3 linked regions of the Nothobranchius furzeri genome follow. The main gene of each other region encodes a partner of the protein of the gene in region 2 in a complex. Links are inferred from orthologs where the notes say so. Each region holds a gene or a part of one and is shown on either strand. Other genes may lie near its edges. The genes, in order: casc3, eif4a3 and upf3b.

The links.
Region 1: the proteins of eif4a3 (region 2) and casc3 are in contact, whole or in part, in a crystal structure (PDB 2J0U), measured with the Homo sapiens proteins. The link is inferred for Nothobranchius furzeri from reciprocal best matches to the Homo sapiens genes EIF4A3 and CASC3. Residues at the interface, in NP_055555.1 of Homo sapiens: Thr178, Arg179, Lys198, Ile201, Tyr202, Tyr205, Arg206, Tyr207, Leu208, Pro209, Pro210, Thr212, Lys231, Phe232; in NP_031385.2 of Homo sapiens: Arg217, Trp218, Glu219, His220, Asp221, Lys222, Phe223, Glu225.
Region 3: eif4a3 (region 2) and upf3b share a complex: the UniProt entries of both Homo sapiens proteins name them as parts of the mRNA splicing-dependent exon junction complex. The link is inferred for Nothobranchius furzeri from reciprocal best matches to the Homo sapiens genes EIF4A3 and UPF3B.

The regions. Positions count from the first base shown.
Region 1 is NC_091746.1:33,208,192-33,215,387, forward strand, and holds the start of casc3 (protein CASC3), read right to left. Parts: upstream 4,091-7,196; 5' UTR 4,048-4,090; coding exon 3,865-4,047; intron 2,519-3,864; coding exon 2,494-2,518; intron 2,407-2,493; coding exon 2,351-2,406; intron 2,174-2,350; coding exon 1,964-2,173; intron 1-1,963. Other genes in the region: serine/threonine-protein kinase WNK4, read right to left, coding at 6,594-6,596, 7,110-7,196. UniProt on the Homo sapiens protein: Required for pre-mRNA splicing as component of the spliceosome. Core component of the splicing-dependent multiprotein exon junction complex (EJC) deposited at splice junctions on mRNAs.
Region 2 is NC_091746.1:29,298,064-29,305,279, reverse strand, and holds the start of eif4a3 (eukaryotic initiation factor 4A-III), read left to right. Parts: upstream 1-3,124; 5' UTR 3,125-3,238; coding exon 3,239-3,392; intron 3,393-4,246; coding exon 4,247-4,319; intron 4,320-4,394; coding exon 4,395-4,461; intron 4,462-4,675; coding exon 4,676-4,738; intron 4,739-4,819; coding exon 4,820-4,952; intron 4,953-6,843; coding exon 6,844-6,924; intron 6,925-7,019; coding exon 7,020-7,161; intron 7,162-7,216. Other genes in the region: serum response factor, read left to right, coding at 149-328, 412-491, 796-882. UniProt on the Homo sapiens protein: ATP-dependent RNA helicase. Involved in pre-mRNA splicing as component of the spliceosome. Core component of the splicing-dependent multiprotein exon junction complex (EJC) deposited at splice junctions on mRNAs.
Region 3 is NC_091741.1:85,712,454-85,719,669, reverse strand, and holds upf3b (regulator of nonsense transcripts 3B), read right to left. Parts: upstream 4,577-7,216; 5' UTR 4,451-4,576; coding exon 4,340-4,450; intron 4,117-4,339; coding exon 4,010-4,116; intron 3,934-4,009; coding exon 3,827-3,933; intron 3,740-3,826; coding exon 3,641-3,739; intron 3,495-3,640; coding exon 3,384-3,494; intron 3,035-3,383; coding exon 2,991-3,034; intron 2,897-2,990; coding exon 2,708-2,896; intron 2,635-2,707; coding exon 2,483-2,634; intron 2,397-2,482; coding exon 2,090-2,396; intron 1,999-2,089; coding exon 1,855-1,998; 3' UTR 1,423-1,854; downstream 1-1,422. UniProt on the Homo sapiens protein: Involved in nonsense-mediated decay (NMD) of mRNAs containing premature stop codons by associating with the nuclear exon junction complex (EJC) and serving as link between the EJC core and NMD machinery.

The sequences.
Region 1 (7,196 bases), about 3.9 Mb from region 2:
AAAGTTCACACATTCTTATAACGGATAGCTCCAGGTTTGACAGTGAAATGTAATACCTTTTGATGACTGTTAAGATTCAATGCTGGGTTCGCAGCTGGAAAAACAAATATAAACTTGCAATAGAATTAAAAAAAATATATATATATATATACACATATCTACCTATCTATCTATATCTCTATCTCTATATCTATTTATATCTATGTATAACTATCTCTCTCTCTCTCTCTCTCTCTCTCTATATATATATATATATATATATATGTATGTATAGGGGAGCTGAAACAACTAATCTATAATCAATTATTGGAAAAGTTGACAACTTATTTAGTCTTCGACTAGTTGTTTTATAATCACGTTTTATTGTAAGTCTTCTATTTTTAAGACAAGCTGTTAAATTTGCAGCCAGTGTGTGGCAGTAATGAGTCACTGATCTAACAGTGGAGCAGCAGAAGAAGCATCAGCCAATAGGCACCCTTGATTTTCATGACGTACCACACACATGGCTGACGCGCATGCTCACACTGAGGAATATGAAACGGTACAGGAGAAAAACAGAAACCATAAAAGTGAAGAAAAAACCAGAACAAAAACATCTAAAGTATGGGAACACTTTACTCTAGATGCCGTGAAAAGACGGGTGACCTGCAAGATATGCAAAAACGATCTAGCATGGCACGGAAATACAATTTCTCTAAATGAACATCTGAGACCAAAACATTTCGGAGTTGATGCAGCAGAAGAGCCAGCCCGGTAAGAAACTTACACCTAATGAGAGAATATACATGCAGTGGTTCCTCACTATAACGCAGATCACTGTTTGTGACTTTGCCGTTTCACTGAGCTTGTTATAGTACAATTTTACACCAGGGTTTCCCCCAGCGCTTTGCTTGGCGGGCCGCCAGACTAAGCATCATGCTCCACCCCCCTCCCTGACTGTGTCCACTGACACGAATGGCGCAATGAAACTAGAGCCCTCCATCAGCTGATACTGGTGAGAAACAGCAGCGGAACATGTGCAACCACCCCACCCCTGCTCTCACGGAGGAGCACTAATAAAACCACTTTGACTGTATTCATTTTTTTAGTTAGCCGTTGTCTCCTGGTAACACTTAGCGTAATGCCGTCTAAAGTGGATTTTCTGAGTCCTGCTAGATGGACACAGTATCAGACAGATTCCTGTATCGGGCCATCTATAATTCTGTAGATTCCAGTTCTTTAGAGAAAAGATGGAATTGGCCAAGTTTAACTCATTCACTGCCATTTGCATTTTTTTACTGTGTGGGCATAGGAACGAGTCCCCACACCGCGAGAACAAACATCTCAGCTCTAAAGCCAATCTTCATCTGCATACGGCACACATCAAGTGACCAGGAAGCAGAAAATCCATGTGTTAGGAGGTCCTTTTGGGCCACTGCTGTAAAACAAATAAATAAATAAATAAAAAATAAAAAAAGTGTGGCGCGAACCAGAAAAGCTTCTGCAGATCACAATTCAATAACGGATTATGAAAGAACAGATAAAGCTCGAAACGCACGGATTCTTCCTGCTGTAAGAGGTATCATCATCCTAGTGCGCAATGCTCTGTGACTCTTAAAAAAACAGTAAAAATGGCACACAAAAAAAAAACCGCTGGCAGGGAAGGGCTTTATCGGTCAGGAAACAGCTGGCAGCGAATGAGTTAATATCAGCTGCTCAAAGCTGTACAAATATCAGAAATATGTATAATTACACAAAATTTACATAGGTCCATTTTTTTATTTATTGTGCAGAAATTTATCAGAATTTAACCAAATGATAACCACCTCTTAAAACTTCCCATTATGTCAAATGAAGCTCAGACTAGCTCTGGAACAGAGCAGCTGAGCCAAATGAACATGGACAAAAAGACAACAAAGAGCTAAAAAGCTGTTTATGCATCAGAACCTGCTGACCAGATCCATCTGGATTTCCTGAGTCTCACCTGTCCATCACCACTCTGCCTCTCTCCTGTGAGGTTTTCCTTGTCCTCCCCCTTGGGCTCCTCCTTACTGTGTCCTTCTGCTTCCTCCTCAGCCTTCTCTTCCTCTTCCACCTCCTCCGGTTTTGGGTCGACAGCAACTGAAGGTTTGGGCTCACTGGTTGCTGCTGGAGCTTCCTCTTCACTGTAACCCTCCTCTTCCTCCTCTACCCCCTGGAAAAAGAATTTTTCAGAAACATCTCTTCTTCAGTTTGGTCTTTGAATTGGCATCCTTAGGTTGTTGTGCCAGATCTTTGACCAATCTGAACGTCTTTTCAATCCTACAGTCAAAAACAGACTCAGTTCTTGTCTGAGGGAAGGAAACTGGGAGTTGTGTTAGGCTGGATTTACCTCTGAATGGGAGCGGTTTTCCTCCGGATCAGCACTGTCATAATCTGAGAGGACAGCTGAACAAAACAGAGCCAGAGTCATAAAATCAGGAATCACCAACAACAAATCTAACGTGGAGCTGGATAACCAGGAGAGGCTCTTACCTTCTCCGGCTCCATCTTCACTCTCCTGCAATGACAAACAGGATCAAAATGACAACGTGAAGAATCTGGCTGCCTTTAGGTGTCAGGATAGACTCTTTCCTGGTGAAGGGGATGCTAGGTTCCTCATAATTTTACAGTGACATATGTGATGTCTGACTTGTAATCATTTTAATTATGAATTTTAACAAGCTAATAAATCTTAAATTACCTGACAGTTGAAAGAAACTCAAATCATTTTTAATTAACTCCAAGTACAACATACAAGTTATTCAGGGCTTACTGCAAAGCAGATTAGAACATAGCTTTTAAAGCCCCGTTCACTTGCATTCTTTTTTTATTTGTTCCAGGGACCCATGGACCAAACGAACAAGTAGGAGACTTTGGCTCCTTATTACTGTTGGCTCAAATACAAACACAGATGACAATAATGGAAAATATTTTTTAATCAGGACACTAGTTCATTTAACAAAGAGCGAGAAGTGTTCTCGTTAGCACGTTTTACTTGATGGTAAAAATCTTCTTTAGTTGAGACCTGGGTATCAAAACATGTTTATCCCCAATACATTTTGAAGTGATAATGTCCTCACGAACAATTATTTAGAAATCAACCCCTAAATAATTCATTTGACACATTTTATCTTAATGTAACCAAGTGTAATGCAGATGAACAAGTAAGGCCTGTAGCTAAAGGGTGGTACCCCAATGACATAAAATGTAGTGGACACTGAGGCCTTGAGACATGTCAAGCCCTCAGTCCCCTGATGGGTGAGGGTCAATGACTGCCTGGGTGAAGCTACTCAGTCATGGGAATCCAGCCTCGCGCATCTTCTGAATCAGAGTATTCTGATTTGTGATTACGAGATTTTATCTATGTCGTAACGCCCCTTAGTGCAACTGGGGCTAATCTGTGATTAATCAGAACTAACAGGGTCTTTAGATGTAATGGAACCACCACGGGTCTGAAGTCCAGCGTGGAGCCGCAGACTCAGGCGAATATCAGGGTGACTTTTAGCTCTTGGTTCGGCAGAAGAATCCACTTGGACCTCAGGTAACCATCCTCTATTCTCCAGTAACGGTTCTGAGAGACTGTTGGGACTGAGCCGGTGTTATGTCACATTTTGTTCCCGAGTAAATGTGGTTCAACTGCCACCTTTTCGTCTCAGATCATCGAACTACGAATGAACGACAAAACCCATCTCCTTACTGATGAACTAGTTAATCACCCACAGTCACGTCGAACCTAATGGTACCTCTAGAGAGCCTTAAGGTTTTTCTGGAAGCGGAATAAGTCAGAACTTTTAGCCCGAATTCCAAGCTTTGTGATGGACGGACCAACGTTAGCTGCTGGAGTTAGCCTGAGTAGCTACTCACACACTCGGACTCCACGTCGCTCTTCGCCTCGGTCCGGCTCTCTGTCACCTCCACTGGTTCGGGATCTCGACCTCGAGCCTTTGTCACGGGAGAACCCGACCTTCCGCTGTCCGAACCAGAACCGGACTCGTCGTCCTCGCTGTCCTGAGACGCGCGCCTCCTCCTTCGCCGCCGGTCCGCCATCTTAGGACTGGAATGGTTAGTAACGGAAAAAGCAACGCATTATGGGTAATGGTGTTCTTTTGGAGAGCAAATTCTCCCAGCTCTTTGATGTCTACTGCCGCCCTCTGGAAATGATTAGTACAACAACGATGTAATAACTATTTTAATTTGAACGTGTACGTGAATAAACTAAAGCAATTTTTACACATATTAGCCGTTACAAAAAAGTATGAATAATCTGGAACACCTGCACGTTAAATCAACAATGTAACCTACAAAAAACTGCTGGGAATCAAATTGTTGCCCTCATTTTCTAAGAAGATGCCAACTAGAGAACGTCCAAAGATCGGAAGTAAGTTGAAAAACTGAAATAGTGGCGTGTGTGTGTGTGTGTGTGTGTGGGGGGGGGGGGGGGGGGGGGGTCGTCTTTATGGTAAGTATGCTAAAAATATGTATAAAACTACAGGCTAGAAGGGGCTCTTTTATGCAATGTCAGGAATGCAGAACTGTCAATTAACATGTGCTCTGAAGTCACGTGGCTCTGATGCTCATTAATTATTCAGAATTTTAAGCATTAAATTACACTTTAAACAGAAGAGTGACAAAAAATCACCCCCTCAGAGTTGTCATGAATGTAAACTAGATCTATTAAACCTAAAGTGATTTTTTTAACCAGGCTGTAAACATGTTTTTTTTTTCTGCTGTGAAAATGGCATTTTTAACATGGGAGTCAATGAGGATTTGCTCACTTCTGGTAGAAGCCCCTTGGCCTGGCCTGCCAGACTCTTCCTCTGTTTAATTATGCACAGAGAGAGGGTGAAGAAAAGGCCAGGGGTCTCATTTATCAAACGTTGCGTAGAATCCTTACTAAAACCGTAAGCTCAGCAAAAAAAAAATGTACTTACGCCAAGTAGGTTTATGATCTATCAAACATGGAGTACGCACAGCTACACGCAATCTCCGCTTCATAAATTGGAGAATAATGAGAATGTTTCTCAGCTGCATTTTAGTCACATCCCGCCCTCACCACGCCCACTTACTGCCATAAATAGTCAATGCAAAGTGCCTTGTGAATCTTATGCATATACATAAGCCAGCTGTTGCAGCATTTCGATCACGACTGCAGATCAAGGAAGCGCTCTTTCACAAGCAGAAATTCAGGTACCTGTGGGTGAGGTGGAGAAATGAAAGGAAGTGCTTTTGTAAAACAAGAGAAAATTCACTCAGTGGCACAGCGTTGCTGAAGCCGTCAATGCTGAGTTCTTCAGAGAGATCTGTGGCGGATATTAAAAAAATGATCCGATCAGGATTCAATCCCCAGACTCCCGGATGAAAGTCATGCGTGCTAACCAGTCAGCCAAACAGAGATCTTCCTTGTACAAGTAGCCAGGGCGCATGATCAATCGGGTCACAGTGACAGGACACTTACATTGTCACTTACGCATGACATTCTGTATCAATCTGTCACCTTGCTAATTTTCTGCATTCCGTATTTTGCGCATCAGACTGTGTGTGTGCGCGCCAGGTGCACGCGCATGTGTGTGGGAGGTCTTGTTCCGTGTGAAAACGAAGCAGTACAAGGGATAATGCTCCAAGGCAGCTGTGGCTACATTGTAGCTCATCCCCACCAGCATGTAAATGTGTGTGTAAATGTGTGTGTGAATGAGTGTGTGAATTGGGGCATGACTGATTATGTTGTGAAGCGCCTTGGAGGGTTGTTGAACCGAGGCATTATACAAAAACAGGCCATTTGGGCAATATGCTTCACCTACCTTGCCTCCTGGATAGTCTGAGGGACCGTAGGCACCTATCAGGTCGTAACCTCAATTCTTTCAGCGAACCCCAGAATAGCTGTGGCTATTTATCTCAATCTGTGTGAATGTGTATGCGTGTGCTTTGGCGTCCTCTGGCTTAGATAGGTGCTATGCAAGAGCAGGCCATTTACCATATGTTTCACGGGTCAAAGAAGAGTCAGACCCCAGAAAATCCAGCTGACCTTGACCCATTTCATCGTCAATTGATCTCATTGTGGTTGACTCATTTCAGATTCAGACTTTTAAAACTAAACATGATTTATTTTATTGTTTTGCACAGACTCTCATCTCTCAAAACAGAAATCAAACATCACTAAATTAAACATTGCTAAATAACCAATCAGTTGGTTGGCTTTATCTGACTCCAGCAGAATAAATAAACAGAACTTCAACAGTTTGGTTCTGACAAAACTTGTAATGAATACATCTCATCATCAAACAGGTTTAAAAAGTAAAACTTTATGAGTTCATCATCATTAAAGTGGCATCTCTCAGTCAGCATTCATAACATAAATCATCCCTCTGAAATTTACTGAGAAATTCTCTTCAAGATGCTGAATGTAAGAATTAGTTTATTCACATGTTACAGAGTCTGTAAGTCCTACGACCGTTTCCTCCTCAAGGTGTTTCACCTGACGCTCATCAGAGACGATCTTTTTCTCAGGGAGAAGAGGCATCAAAATAGATTTCAGTCTCAAACAGGAAATGTACTCTTCTTCAGGCATCATGTGCAGAAGGTCAAAATTTAGCACCTCACTGCAACACAGAGGTCAAAGGTCAAACTGTTAATGAATGTAAAAGCAGCGTGACTAAACACCTTGAGTATAAAAAAAATGAAAGAAAGAAAACAAGGTCTAAGTGGAAGAATCGTGAAAAATTGAAAACAAAAACCAAAAAATATATTTTAAATTTTTTTGTTATTTATTGAAAGAAAATTATTTAATTTGTATAAAAGAATGAATAATGAAAAATAAATAAGTTAAATATTTTTTTTAATAATGGACCCATTCAAACTAAGTCTAATTAAAGAAGCTGATCAGTATCAACTGAGTTGGGTCCATGGAGCTGAGCATCAGTTAATTTAAAGCTGGTCTATTCGGTTCTGGGCCCAGGTGATTCAACCACTGAATCAAGTGTGTTGGAGCAGAGAAACCACTAAAACATGCTGGATACTGGCACTTTACTGGCCTGGTATTGAATAGCCCCAGTTTGTGGAATAGAGTAATACTTTATTCATCTCAGTGAGAAATTTACTTAATATGAACTCACCATGCAGCTGTGTCCAGGGGCAAAGGTCACAGCTTTCATCACTCTGTCCTGAGATCCACTGCTGCTGCCGCTCACTGAACTCTTCCT
Region 2 (7,216 bases):
TGCCTCTAAATTTTGTTCTGGTGCAGCTGAGAACTCACCAGTTCAACCTGAGAGAGCCACAACAAGAGGCTCCGCCTCCTGGGATTTTGGTGAGGTCAGGAGCTTTTATTGTGACAGAACCCTTAAGAGCTCCCTGTCTCTGTTACAGCGACTCTTCCAGTGTCCATAGTCTCCTCGTGTTCCTCCTCCTCCTCGGTAACGGGTCACATGATGTACCCTGGAGGTCACGCGGTGATGTACGCCACACCATCGTCCTCACTGACCGACGGCAGCCTCACCGTCCTCAACACCTTTCCCTCTACAGGCCACGCCCAGTCACATGACCCAGGTATGATGCAACGGAAAACGTTAAAGACAAATGTGTCCGCGTCAGAACGTTGGAGTCAACGCAATCCCGTTTTTGTGTTTTAGCCGTCATCCCGCAGGTTTTCCTCACCTCTCTGCCTCCTGTCGCTGCTCAGATCCCAGTCTCTGCCGTGCAGCTGCACCCGGTAACACACACACACACACACACACACACACACACACACACACACACACACACACACACACACACACACACACACACAATGTTTATTATTGTTTTAGTTTTTTATTGTTAAGCTTTACGTTTATCTGTTTTTATTGTTTCTTTTATTGTTGTTGTGTTATTTGTTGTTTACTGTAGTATGTCTTCTTTTGTTGTTGTTCGTTGTTTGTATTTGTTATTTTTGTGGTATCTGTTGTTTTGTTATTGTTTAGCTTTTGAATGAATTTGTTGTTTATGGTTTGTTTTGTTGTTTATTTGTTGTTTAGATGGTCATCAGCCAACAGAACAACAGCAGCAGCCTAGCGGAGCTGCAGGTTGTCAGTCTTGACGTCCACCAATCAAAGGACGATTGAGGGTCACATGACTTTCCCACCAGCCTTGTTGCTGATGGGCAGCAGAAGGTTCCAGCTCTTTATGACGCCACGTGGTCAGGTCACTCACCTGAGGACCAGGTCTAATCATGAGCCCCCGCCCCCTCGATGGGACTGAGAAGACAGGAAGTGGGAACCTGTTTTTCAAAGTTGAAGCCCCTGAGATGAGCCAGCTGTAGTCTCGGTGTTGTGATTTAGGTCTTTAGTTTTGTCAGGATTTAAACCTTTCCAGGTTTTCAGTGTTTGGTGTTCAGAAGCTTTCCAGACAACTCACCTGTTCAGGCTCTGCAGCGATGACCTCCAGCCTGATCTGCTGGACTGTGAGACGGGACTCGAACTAGACCCCGTTTACAGACCGCTGATGCTGCCTTTAAGGACACTCCGTTAACAAGAAACTGAAACTAGATCGCTAGACAGATGTGATGCTCAGCATTCACGTGTGTGTGTGTGGGGGGGGGGGGGGGGGGGTGTCTTCAATCAGGGATAACTGACAGGAAGTCATCTTCAGATTAAAACTCATCCTGTTCGTCGGACTCTACACGGATCCCAGTCCCATGGTCCAAATGAATGTTCTGCTGCATTTGCTGGTGTGGGCAGGGTTTCACAGACCTGACGACAGTCCTGGGACACGCAAACTCCACCAGCTGATGGATGAGGCACCAATCAGGATGGAGTCCTCACATCTGTGACATCTGTGTGTATTCCTGACTCTCTTGAAGACATCACTCCAGACCTATCCCTGTAAAGCCTTCAGGAATACTTCCTGCTGGATCTGGAGTGGGTAACTGGTTTGGGATTAAATGCCATCGCAGAAACTCTGAACAGTACTCGGTAGTCTGTACACAGGTTTCCTGACCACAGGCTGTAAACATGCATGTTATAGGTTAACCCTAGGTATGACTGGTTGTCTCTGTGTGTCCCTGTGATGGACTCGAGACCTGTCCAGGTGTCCCTAGCTTCTTGCCTGACATAACCTAAAACCCTAGTGAGGATCAAGCGGTCTGATAAACAAGTGTGCACCCTCTAAAGGGGGTTTGACTGTAGATTTGATGCTAAACATGAACCCTCTGGAGTTTCCTGAGCCTGACAACAAATGACTCGAGCACCTGTTGGAACTACGTCACATTTTTGTTGGACTGAAACATTGAACCACCTTTAAATAAAGAGTTTTGTGTTTAAACTGGATTTCTTTGATGGCTTCATGTTAATAACGCCTGTTATAGTGCAGATGGTTTTTAGAGAAGGTGCTAGCTGTTATTAAGGTTATATGACTGACTGGAAGGGATTTCCAAATCACTTATCTCTGCTGTTTGGTAAAAAAAAAAAAAAAACTAATAAAATGATTTTTTTCCACAAAGTTCAATGAATTCTTGTCAAGAGTTAGCCTCTACATAAACCGGTCTAGTTCTGGTAAGGACTGGATCAGAGGGAGTTTGGTTATTCCTGGTTCTGAGGCTTTGTCCGGTAACGTGTGTTTTGAGAGGAATGAGGCTCCAGACCAGATCTCAGATTTTTTTCCCACAGTTTTCTTTAAAAAATAGCTATGTGTCTAAACTGTTTTTATCATTTCTGAAATCACTCCTATTCTGATGTCGGCACTGGTTCGCTTTAGAATTCCTTTTATAATCCTGACCGTAACCTTCAGGGCTCTATGGTCAAGCTTCTCCCTATATTACTGAACCAGTAAGGCCATGTGCTCCAACCGAGCCCTCAGGTCTACAAACCAGAACCTTCTAGAAGTTTCAAAAACCAGGTCCAAGTGATGCCTTTTTCCAGGATGTTGTACCCTCGACTTTGGAATAAATGAACTTCCTAAATCTTGTGTTAGCAGTCTGGACACCTTTAAAAAGCAGCTAAAGACTAATTTAAAATAGCTTTTGATTAAACCTTTAGTTTTTCTTTTTTGTTTTAATGAACTTGCATTTGTTTTAAGATCTCTTGTTTTTAATGTTATTTATCTTTGTCTTTTAATTGTTTTAAATCTGTGGATAATTTAGTAATTTTTTAGGGGCTTAAAAAATAAACTACTTGTAAAAAAGTTTTTTTTTTAATTTCTTGTGATTCCAGAATTCATTTCCAGAACAAACTGCAGCCTGGTTTAAAAATCTCTGGATTATTTTAACCCTACACCAAAACCTCAGCTGTAAATAAAAGTCCATAAATATTATTATGACGCGCTTTTACAGCGGGAGACGCACAGCGCGTCGCCTGTTGAATACGTCACCACCAGGGCGACACGCGCGTGTGGCTATTGGCTATTAGCAGTTAGCAACGCCGCGCAGTGAACTGTTGATACCGGAGTCGGGAGGTTTTGACCGAACAAAAAGGCGCTAGGAAGATGGCTTCTGCCGGGACACAGGGCAGGAAGAGGCTCCTGAAAGAGGAGGACATGACCAAGGTGGAGTTCGAGACCAGTGAGGAGGTGGACGTCACTCCTACGTTCGACACGATGGGGCTCCGGGAGGATCTGCTTCGCGGGATTTACGCTTACGGTAGGCCGGGGATCGTACGGCCTCCAGAGGGAAGCTCGAGCCGCCCGTTGTTCGGTGTCGAGAAGTGGTTTGGATTAAAACGATTGTTTAGGGACATTTTTATGTTAGTTTCTGCTTATTTAACCATTTGTTGGTAGTTAGGGTCATACCGGTCTGATCTGGACCCGGACCCGGACCATCGGCGGATTTAGGAGTGAAGAAGCCCCGGGGCTTTATCCAACTGCGTGATGGAGGTTTTTAGCCTTTCCAAAACATTTTAGCTTTAAAAAAAAGTCATTAATCTATTCTAAACGTTCATATATATTGTTGGTCTGTGAACAGTTCTGAGAAAATAAACCTTCTGGATTAGTTTTTATTGTCTTTATGTGAAAGTCGAGTATTAAATTGCATTGTACAAATTAGGGATGCACCGTATGAAACTTTGGGCCAATATCGGATATAAATGATGCTATTATGGCCGATAATCCATCTCAACCACCTCACCCTCTCAGACTGATACTTAAAGTAGGGACTTGGACTTTTTTTTTTTTAAGTCGGCCCAGTTTAACTTATCAGACCGACATCGAAATGATAAAAAGTTACTAACATCAGCCGATACTGATGCTGATATATCGTGCATCCCTGCCTGGTGTAAATATTTTAATTGCTTCCCTGCTGCTGCTGTAACTGAGGCTTCAGCAAACTCCGATTCAACCACAGCTGAACCCAACGATCTGGTCATTTTTGAGTTAAAACAGCTGCTGCATAGAAAGTAAATCTCACTGATGGACCCGAGCAGAAGCACGATGGAGATGCGTGGAGTCGACAGATCTGGTGGACCTCCTGACTGATTCCAAGTCTTCGTTCTGTTTCAGGCTTTGAGAAGCCGTCAGCCATCCAGCAGAGAGCCATCAAACAGATCATCAAAGGGCGAGACGTCATCGCTCAGTAAGTAGTCCATGTCTGGTCTCACCACTGACCAGGTCCTGATGGGGTCTAACTGCTGGTCTCTGCTCCTCACAGATCTCAGTCTGGAACTGGAAAGACGGCCACCTTCTGTATCTCTGTGCTGCAGTGTCTAGACATCCAGGTGGGTGTTCAGCAGCAGCCAGAGCTGCGGTCACGAACCTGAACACCCACCACCCAGTAATCGGGGGTGTTGCAGGTTGCTCGACCCCAGGGTTGGGGTTAGACCTACTCATCTACCCGTGATCTTGTCTATAAAAACGTTTTTATTTGTTTTAAACTCAACTGTTCTCGGCTGAAACTGATGACATCATGCTGTGATGCGTTTCTTGTCACAGGTGAGGGAGACCCAGGCTCTGATTCTTGCTCCAACTCGAGAGTTGGCTGGGCAGATTCAGAAGGTAATCCTGTCCCTCCGTCACACCTGCCCTTGTTCTGGTGATGCGTGGCTGTTTCTGATTGGTTGCTCGTCTTCTGTCCAGGTGCTGCTGGCTCTGGGAGACTACATGAACGTCCAGTGTCACGCCTGCATCGGAGGGACCAATGTGGGAGAGGACATCCGTAAGCTGGACTATGGTCAGCACGTGGTGGCCGGCACTCCTGGCCGTGTGTTTGGTGAGTCCTCCTCCATCTGCATCATAAAGACATCACCTGTGACGTCATCGTAAATCTACCTGTTGGAACTTGTCGGACCTGTTCGGTTCCCATGGTGCTGTTGTGATAGGTGCTCAGTTATGAACTGACTCGTGGTGTTGGTGCAAGTATACGAATCCAACTTGCATCACGGCAGAATAAGTCAGACCAGATCCAGAACCTGGAAGTTATTGACCCCCCTCTCTTCTGTTCTGGTTCTGGACCTGAGTTGTGAGAGCTGTAATGTGAGTCCAGGAGATAGCCCAAGCCTATAGCTTGCCCCTTTAGCTTGGCCCAGTGCATTATGGGCTGTTTTGTCACATAGTGTCAGAAGTTAGGGATGCACCGATCAGGTTTTTTGCTGCCGATCACCGATACCGATCACCGATACCGATCACGTGGATTGGCCAGAAATTTTCTACAACATTATAATGAGTGCTACAAACTACATAATCTGGGAATAAAGGAAATGCAACCTAATCTAAAATGGTCTGTATTAGGGTTGTCACGGTGTGAAAATTTAACCTCACGGTTATTGTGACCAAAATTATCACGGTTTTCGGTATTATCGCGGTATTTTTTTTTAAACGTGCTACATTTTCACACAATTAAATAAACCCTGTATGTCAGGAAATATTGTCCTCAGTTTGTGTCTAAATTTTGCCTAAAATGTGTTATTTTGTAATTATGTTGTTTATTTGTTTACATTTTTCCCCTTTGGTCTTTAAAATACCAATATTTGCCCATAACTTCTTATTTTATGTCTGTTTGATGTCATCATTTTAAAAATATTAGACCAGATGATACTCAGTACTCAAGTAGACTTCTAATCAGATACTTTTTTACCCTTACTTGAGTAATAAACCCTATATCAGGAAAATATCGTCCTCGGTTCGTGTCCTTCCAGTGAGCTTTGCAGATGTGGGAAAATGTCATCAGGCAGTAATCGTTGTTAAATTCATAATTATTCTCGGAGAGAGACCAACTCTTATCTGCCCCTGGGAGCCCCGTAATGCATAGCGTCATTTCAACATGGCGGTGTCCGCGACACGGTTTATATGCAGGTAGCGGCGCTGCGGCTGCTTTATATAGCGACTCGTTGCGTTCTCCCTCAACCCAAATCCTCGGATCACACATTTGAGCTAAAACGCTAACGTTAGCTTGCCTTGCGTTGACTGTAGAGTTGTGGGTGATGGTCACGCAGATGTGTCATGAGATTTGAAGCGTTGCTGCCTTTCACAGACACTTTTTCTGCACGTGCTGCAAACAGGATAGCCGTCTTCCATAAACTCCCTCGGCATTCTTCAAATATCTAAAATATGCCCGTACTTCCGACTTTGTCTTCTTTGAGGGATAATAAATGTCCTCCTGAGCGCTGCCGTCTCCTCCTTTGACCATTATTTCAGCTTTAGCTTCAAGAAAGTTTCTTTGTAAACAAAGCGTGCGTCTGTGCCGCCGGCAACTTCAGCCGATGATACGGTGGCTGGTAAGGGTCACCGCGCCTACACCGCAGCCACGGTAAACCCATTGAGATAATAATAGTTTTTTTTAAAAACAAGACTGTTATTATTATTGTCAACCTTTTTTTTTTACCGGGGTTTACCGCTACACTGGTTACCGTGACAACTCTACCTGATCGGATTGCTTTGATCTATTTTGAAAATTCCGATCAAAACCGATAGGGGCGCTATCGGCCAATTACGATCAAATACCGATCCATCGGTGCATCCCTATCAGAAGTTCATTTAGACCCGGTCCGATCAGAACTGGGCACCTCATTGCGTCATGACCATGTGATCTGTTTTGCTGAATTGCTCCTGGCTGATTGGTCGATGATGTCAGAGTTGATATCTGACCGCTTGTCTCTTCGCAGATATGATTCGGCGCCGGAGTCTGAGAACCCGGGCCATCAAGATGCTGGTTCTGGATGAAGCAGATGAGATGCTGAACAAAGGTGAGGCTGAGCAGGTGGACCGCCTGGATGGACTTGGATCCACCTGGTGCTGGTCGCCAGGAGTCCCTCAGCACGTGTCCGTTTGTGCCTTTCAGGCTTCAAGGAGCAGATTTACGACGTGTACCGGTACCTGCCCCCGGCCACACAGGTGGTCCTGATCAGCGCCACGCTGCCGCACGAGATTCTGGAGATGACCAACAAGTTCATGACTGACCCGATCCGCATTCTGGTCAAACGGTGAGTCAAGAAACTCGTCGGGTCCAGGAGTTGGTTCAGAATGGAGCCGACGTTG
Region 3 (7,216 bases), on a different chromosome or scaffold from region 2:
GTCCATGCAGTCAGATGTTTGTACTGCTGCACTCCTAATCTTCAGCAGTAGACACGGCTGGATGGTGTTGAAGGCACTTGAGGTCGAACATGACTCTCACGGTGCTTTTTTGCATCTCGAGGTGAGTCAGATTCCGGTGCTGCAGGTAGATGACGTGTCCTCCACCTTCATGTTTGGTTTATATGCAAATTGCAGTGGGTCTATTTCTGAGCTCACCACTGAACATAGATGGGTGAGGATGAGTCTCTCCATCATCAAATCTGTTAAAAAACAGGTTAAGCTCATCGGCCCAGTTCTGGTCCCTTTCAGCAGATTCACTGGCACCACTCCTCCCACTGTGTCCTGTGATGTCCCTGAGACCTCTCCATGCACCGTGTTCTGCTCCAGCTTCTTCTTGAAAAAAAAAACCTTCCCCCATCTGATCTGACCCATCTAAGCTCCTTTTGGACTCGTCTCTGCTCCTCTTTATCTTCAGCCATCGTTCAGCATGTATTTCAGCTCAGGGGTCGACCAGGGTTTATTGTTCCAGAAACACCTCATTCTTCGTGTTCGGACGGTGTTCTCTACGCAGTGTGTCAGGCTGTCAAGGCCATCGCCATGAGCGCTGCAAAGTGTCTCCCAGTCTGTGGTGTAGAGTCCTTCAGCCTTTCTGTTGCTCCCTCAGTCCACACTCTCACGATTGTTCACTGAGGAGGTGCCCTAATTGCCCTGGGTATGTATTCAGGGATCAGATGAATGAGGTTGTGATCTGAGCAGCCGAACGGAAGGTGGAAGTGTGTGTGTTTTGTCACATTAGCGTGCAGGAGATCAATTGTCTTACTGTCTCTGGTGTGGCACTTCAAATATTTGGTAAAGGTGGGGAGAGTGGAGGAAACCGAGGTGTGATTAAAATTCCCACTGATGAGAATGAGTGCCTCTGGGTGAGCCGTCTGGAGCTTCTCCACAAAACGTTGTAACTGCTCGCATGCAGCAACTGCATCGGCCGAGGAGTGGGCGGGTGTACACATCACTGTAGAAATAGTCAGGTATTTTTGATTTATAGGGTGCTGGAGTGTGCCCTCGTTTTCTGAAAGCTGTTCTACAATTGAAGGAGTTTATTATAATGAAGTTTTTATTAAAATAATAACTACAAGCAGCTTTGCATGAAAACGAAGCTTGCTATCTCCGGGAACACAACGTCAAATATACGACGCAAAAAAGTAGAAAAATCAACTTTTGCAAAGACTTTTTAGTCAGAAATGTAGCCTCTTTATCAGTATCACCTTTAATGACATATTAGTAATAAAAAAGGGATAAGGCCACATGTTTATCACTGATTGTTTATATACATGCGGTCACGTGGCAGTCTACTTAGAAATGGCTAATTCTCCTCCAGGTTTCCATAGTAACAAGCATACCACAGAATCCCAGACCAGATCAGTTTATGATGCATAGGTACTTTATCTCAAACTATTAAATATCTCACAAGAAAAATCCAGAAATCACCTTGAAGAAACCACGTGTTGACATAGTGAACATTATAAATTTATTTTAGAGTGATTTAGATAACGAGCGTGAAGGCACCTTTTTTGCAGAGTGTAAAACACTTTTCCTCCAAAGCGATAATGCTGAATTAAGTTCACTTTGACATCACATGGTCCCCAAAACTTTGGCTTCCTTGAATGTGCCCTACAGCCAAACTCCTTCAGAAGGTGAATCGTTTCTTCTCCTAACACAGACCAAAGAGGATCACACCTCTGCCTCCGAAACTGGGAGCCCTGCTTAATCAGTGGAGCGCGTGGCTCCGAGACGCCATACTGCTGCTCGCAGGCCTGTCTCTTCACCTAACTCAAATGAACAAAAGCAGAGGTCTGCTCAGTCGTCTACTTTCTCAGCCACGTTCTTGCTCTCAGTATCTGGTTTTCTGTCGGCAGAGTTGGATTCTCTTCTGTCTGCTCCTGGTGTGGCACGGTGGCGGCTCCGGGCCCCTGGCTGGTAAAGCTGAATGGCGGGTCGGTCCTGTTGCAAATAATATAAATAAAATATTACAAAAGGAAAACAAACTCAGAAATTATTTGGCACAAGTGTGAGAAATAACTGGAGTCCGTACCTTATTCCGCAGTCGCTCCCTTTTGCTGCTCTCATCCTTTTTGTTCTCTTTGGCAGCCTTCTCCGTTTTCTCACCGCGAGGGGAATCTGCCATGTTTTCATTCCTCTTCTTCTCCAACGCCTTTTCTTTTTTAATCTCCTCTTCCCGCTTCCTGAACGTGTTCTCTCCATCATGCTGCTCCCTCCTCCTCCGTCTTTCCTCGTCCTGCCGTCTGAAGCGCTCCTTTTCCCTCTGCCGCCGCTCCTCCCGCTCTCTGTCTCGATCAAAGTCCCGCTCCCTGAATTCCTTTCTCCCACTTTCATCTCTTCTAAAAGGAAATCACAGCTGGAGTTAAATCAGTTAAATGTACAAACAAAAGTGCAAAATGCCAGGAAAAAAAGAACAAGAACTGACTTTCTTTCACGATCCTCCTTGTTCTCGATGTTATGTCTCCTCTTCAGATCACTGAATGACCGGACCTCTTTATGTGGCTTCTCTGGTTTCTTGGACTTCTCTTTAGGCTTTTCAGACTCTGCTTCATCATTTCTATCTGGTTTCTTCAGGAGCTGAATATAAAGACACAATCATCATGAGAAACTTGAAATTGACAGATGCATTTTTTTTTTTCACTGCACGAACCTTAATTTTTGGTTCTTCCTTAACGTGGTCCTTGTCTTTCTCCGGCAGTTTCTCAAGTCTTTTCATCTTCTCAGCCTCTTTCCGTTTTCTCCTCTCCTCCTCCCTCCACTTGCGACGCTCTTCGTCACGCAGGCGCTTGCGTTCAAGCTCCCTCCTTCGTCTCTCCTCTCTCTTTTCCTCCCTGATTCTCTGAAAGTTAAAATAGAAAGTTTGATGGATTCTTGCTAACATGCAGTTGAACCAATTTATCCTAAACACCAAAAAACGATTACCACATGCTTACCTGTTTATTCTTCAGGTAGTCCAACAAGGGCGTGGTCTTTTTAGCTAAAAGAAAGGGGAAGAAACCCACAATAAGAAATCTTGTCAAATGCAATGCTCCTGTTTACATACAAGCAGTTATAACAGTCCCATTTTTGGTTCTTTTTTAAACACAGATAAGGTTTTTCTTTACCTTGCTGACGTTTCGTTTACGGCTGCAAACATCTTCAGAGCTGACGCTGATGGTGGCGTCACTTCCTACACATCCACATCAGCGGCAGCTCTGAAGATGTTTGCAGCCGTAAACGAAACGTCAGCAAGGTAAAGAAAAACCTTATCTGTGTTTAAAAAAAGAACCAAAAATGGAATTTGAAGACAAACACAGCAAGTGATAACGGTGCTGTCATAAACAAACCTTCAAGTTCTTTTGATCTGGCCTCGATCTCCTCCAACAAGGTCTCAGGCGTAGATGTCAGCTTCTCTTCGTCTCCGTTGTAATATTCAAGAAATTTTTTATAATCAGGATCTGATAAAAACACAAACATGCTGAGCTATAGATTTTTATAGATAGATCTCAAAATAGATATGTTAGGGACGAACATGGAGTTTCTTCAAGCTTATTTCTTTTTATAACAGAGAAGATCAAAACCACCAGACAGTTTAAACCCTTGCCTTCAGTAATTGTTCCACACTTCGAGTCCTTCTTCTTACTTCTTTTCTTGGCTATCTTTTGAAACGGCGCAAACTCCACAATGGCTGGATACTCCTGTCCTGTTGAATGGCCAAACATAAACAAGGACAGTCTCAGGTCAACGCTCTGGAACACTTCACAGAAAACTGGGTGTGTGTTCTTGATACCTCTGTTGTCTATGAACACATATCCATCGAATCGATCTCTGAAGAGAACAATATCATCTTCATTTTTGAAACTGATGTAAGCCCTCGCGAAGAGATGGGGATACAGGCTAAAATGACCGGAAGTGCCATGTTAGACCAACACAATGAAGGAAATGCTAACAGTCATTTTACAGGTGAACTCACCTGGTGTCGTTTGAGAAAAACTCCATGTAGTCCACCTCTGGGAGAGGCTGCAGCTGCTCCTCTAACTCCTCTTTAGACAGACTTGGTGGTAATCGTCTGATTACAATCTACGAACACATTGTAAAAAGTTCACTACCTTAATTACTAAGCAGGGCTTTGTAAAATGAAATTTTGGTCCAGTCTTTAAATGTATAATTTCAATCGTAGAACATTTTATCTGAAAACAAAAACAAAACAAAAAAGTTAAACCATGCTTTTATTTAATAGAACTACACGAATCCAAAACTGACGTCTGTAGCAACATTAGCTGCTTTAGCTAGCAAGTTTTACCTTTGTCATGGCCTCTTTCTTTTCTTTTGACTTCTCAGTCTTTTCTCCATCTTCACACTTTAGCTCCACTTTTTTCTCCTTCGGTCGAGTGTTTTCTTTGTCTTCTTTCATAGCTGAACGTCTACAGAGATCCACAGCCTGCTCTCATCTCACTCAACAGACTTGTTTACTTTTCAGAGAGTTAGCCAGCTAGCAGCTAGATACTAACCGCTCGAAACTTCCTTTCTGACTACTGAAGCTGCATTTACAAGTTTTTACCAGGAGGTGGCGCTAAATACAAAGCAATTACACATTTAAAAAAAAATGTTTTTGGTAATTACTATTTTCGGTAATTACTGGTAATTATATTTTTGTTAATGTCCATTCTAAAATATTTTTCTATAGTAAATTTTTTTGTAGAGCTAGGGTTAAGTCTGATGTAAAGTTAAGATTGAGATATGTCTACTGTCCACTTAGTGACACTAGACATCTTTTTATTGGAAACATTGCATTGTTTCCCTATTTGTGTTTCAAATTTTCCTTGTTCGTTACTTTTATGTATTTGATTAATGTATTTTGTGATACGTTTATCCCACGACCCTGCATGGACTAACAGGTATAGAGAGTGGATGGATGATACTTTTATTTTATTTATCTTTTAATAGTATTACCAAATTGTATCTTTATCTGTTTATAAAGTTACTCTATCTATCTATCTATCTATCTATCTATCTATCTATCTATCTATCTATCTATCTATCTATCTATCTATCTATCTATCTATCTATCTATCTATCTATCTATCCATCCATCCATCCATCCATCCATCCATCCATCCATCCATCCATCCATCCATCCATCCATCCATCCATCCATCCATCCATCCATCCATCCATCCATCCATCCATCCATCCATCCATCCATCCATCCATCCATCCATCATCTAGTAAAGTAAGTAAGTAAATTTATTTATATAGCACTCATCAAAGACAGAAAACCACAGTGCTTCACATAGATCAAAACAAAACAAATCATAAAGTCATAAAATCATAATGATCTTAAAAAAAGATTAAAACAGAAAAGTTAAGTCATTAAATGATAAAATACCATAAAACAGATGAAAGATGATTTCTAATTTTGAGTTAAAAATAAGAAAATAAAAGATTTAGGTAAAAGTAGCTTTAAATAAAAGGGTCTTTAGCTGTTTTTTTAAAAGTGTCTAAACTGTCAATGCTACATAAAGATAAAGGAAGATCATTCCAGAGTCGGGGTGCAACAGTCTGGAAGGAGCTATCCCCTCGACTTTTATATCTGGTCTTTGGAACATCTGGAACGTTCTGGTGAGTGGACCTGAGGGCTCGGATTGGAGCATAAGGCTTTAACAGTTCAGTAATATAGGGCGGAGCTTGACCATGTAGAGCATTGAAAGTTGTCGTCGTCGTCTTCCTCCGCTTATCCGGGTCCGGGTCGCGGGGGCAGCATCCCAACTAGGGAGCTCCAGGCCGTCCTCTCCCCGGCCTTGTCCACCAGCTCCTCCGGCAGGACCCCAAGGCGTTCCCGGACCAGATTGGAGATGTAACCTCTCCAACGTGTCCTGGGTCGACTCGGGGGCCTTCTACCGGCAGGACATGCCCGAAACACCTCCCCGGGGAGGCGTCCAGGAGGCATCCTGACCAGATGCCCAAACCACCTCAACTGGCTCCTTTCGATCCGGAGGAGCAGCGGTTCTACTCCGAGTCCCTCCCGAATGTCCGAGCTCCTCACCCTATCTCTAAGGCTGAGCCCGGCCACCCTACGGAGGAAACTCATTTCGGCCGCTTGTATCCGCAATCTCGTTCTTTCGGTCATTACCCAAAGCTCATGACCATAGGTGAGGATTGGGACGTAGATCGACCGGTAAATCGAGAGCCTGGCTTTCTGGCTCAGCTCCCTCTTCCCCACGACAGATCGGCTCAGCGTCCGCATCACTGCAGACGCCGAACCAATCCGCCTGTCGATCTCCCGATCCCTCCTACCCTCACTCGTGAACAAGACCCCGAGATACTTAAACTCCTCCACTTGAGGTAGGACCTCTCCCCCGACCCGGAGGTGGCAAGCCACCCTTTTCCGGTCGAGAACCATGGTCTCAGATTTGGAGGTGCTGATCCTCATCCCAGCCGCTTCACATTCGGCTGCGAATCTACCCAGCAAGAGCTGAAGGTCAGAGCTGGATGAAGCTAGGAGGACCACATCATCCGCAAAAAGCAGAGACGAGATTCTCCTGCCACCAAACTCGACACACTCCACACCTCGGCTGCGTCTAGAAATTCTGTCCATAAAAGTGATGAACAGAACCGGTGACAAAGGGCAGCCCTGGCGGAGTCCAACCCTCACTGGGAACAGGTCCGACTTACTACCGGCTATGCGGACCAAACTCACGCTCCTCTGGTAAAGGGACTGAATGGCCCTTAACAGAAAGCCACCCACCCCATACTCCTGGAGCGTCCCCCACAGGGTGCCCCTGGGGACACGGTCATAAGCCTTCTCCAAATCCACAAAGCACATGTGGATTGGTTGGGCAAACTCCCATGGCCCCTCCATCACCCTTGCAAGGGTATAGAGCTGGTCCACAGTTCCACGGCCAGGACGAAAACCACATTGCTCCTCCTCTATCTGAGATTCAACTATCGATCGGACCCTCCTCTCCAGTACCTTGGAGTAGACCTTTCCAGGGAGGCTGAGGAGTGTGATCCCCCTATAGTTGGAACACACCCTCAGGTCACCCTTCTTAAAGATGGGGACCACCACCCCGGTCTGCCACTCCCTAGGAACTGCCCCCGATGACCACGCAATGTTGTAGAGACGTGTCAACCATGACAGCCCTACAACATCCATAGCCTTAAGATACCCAGGACGAAC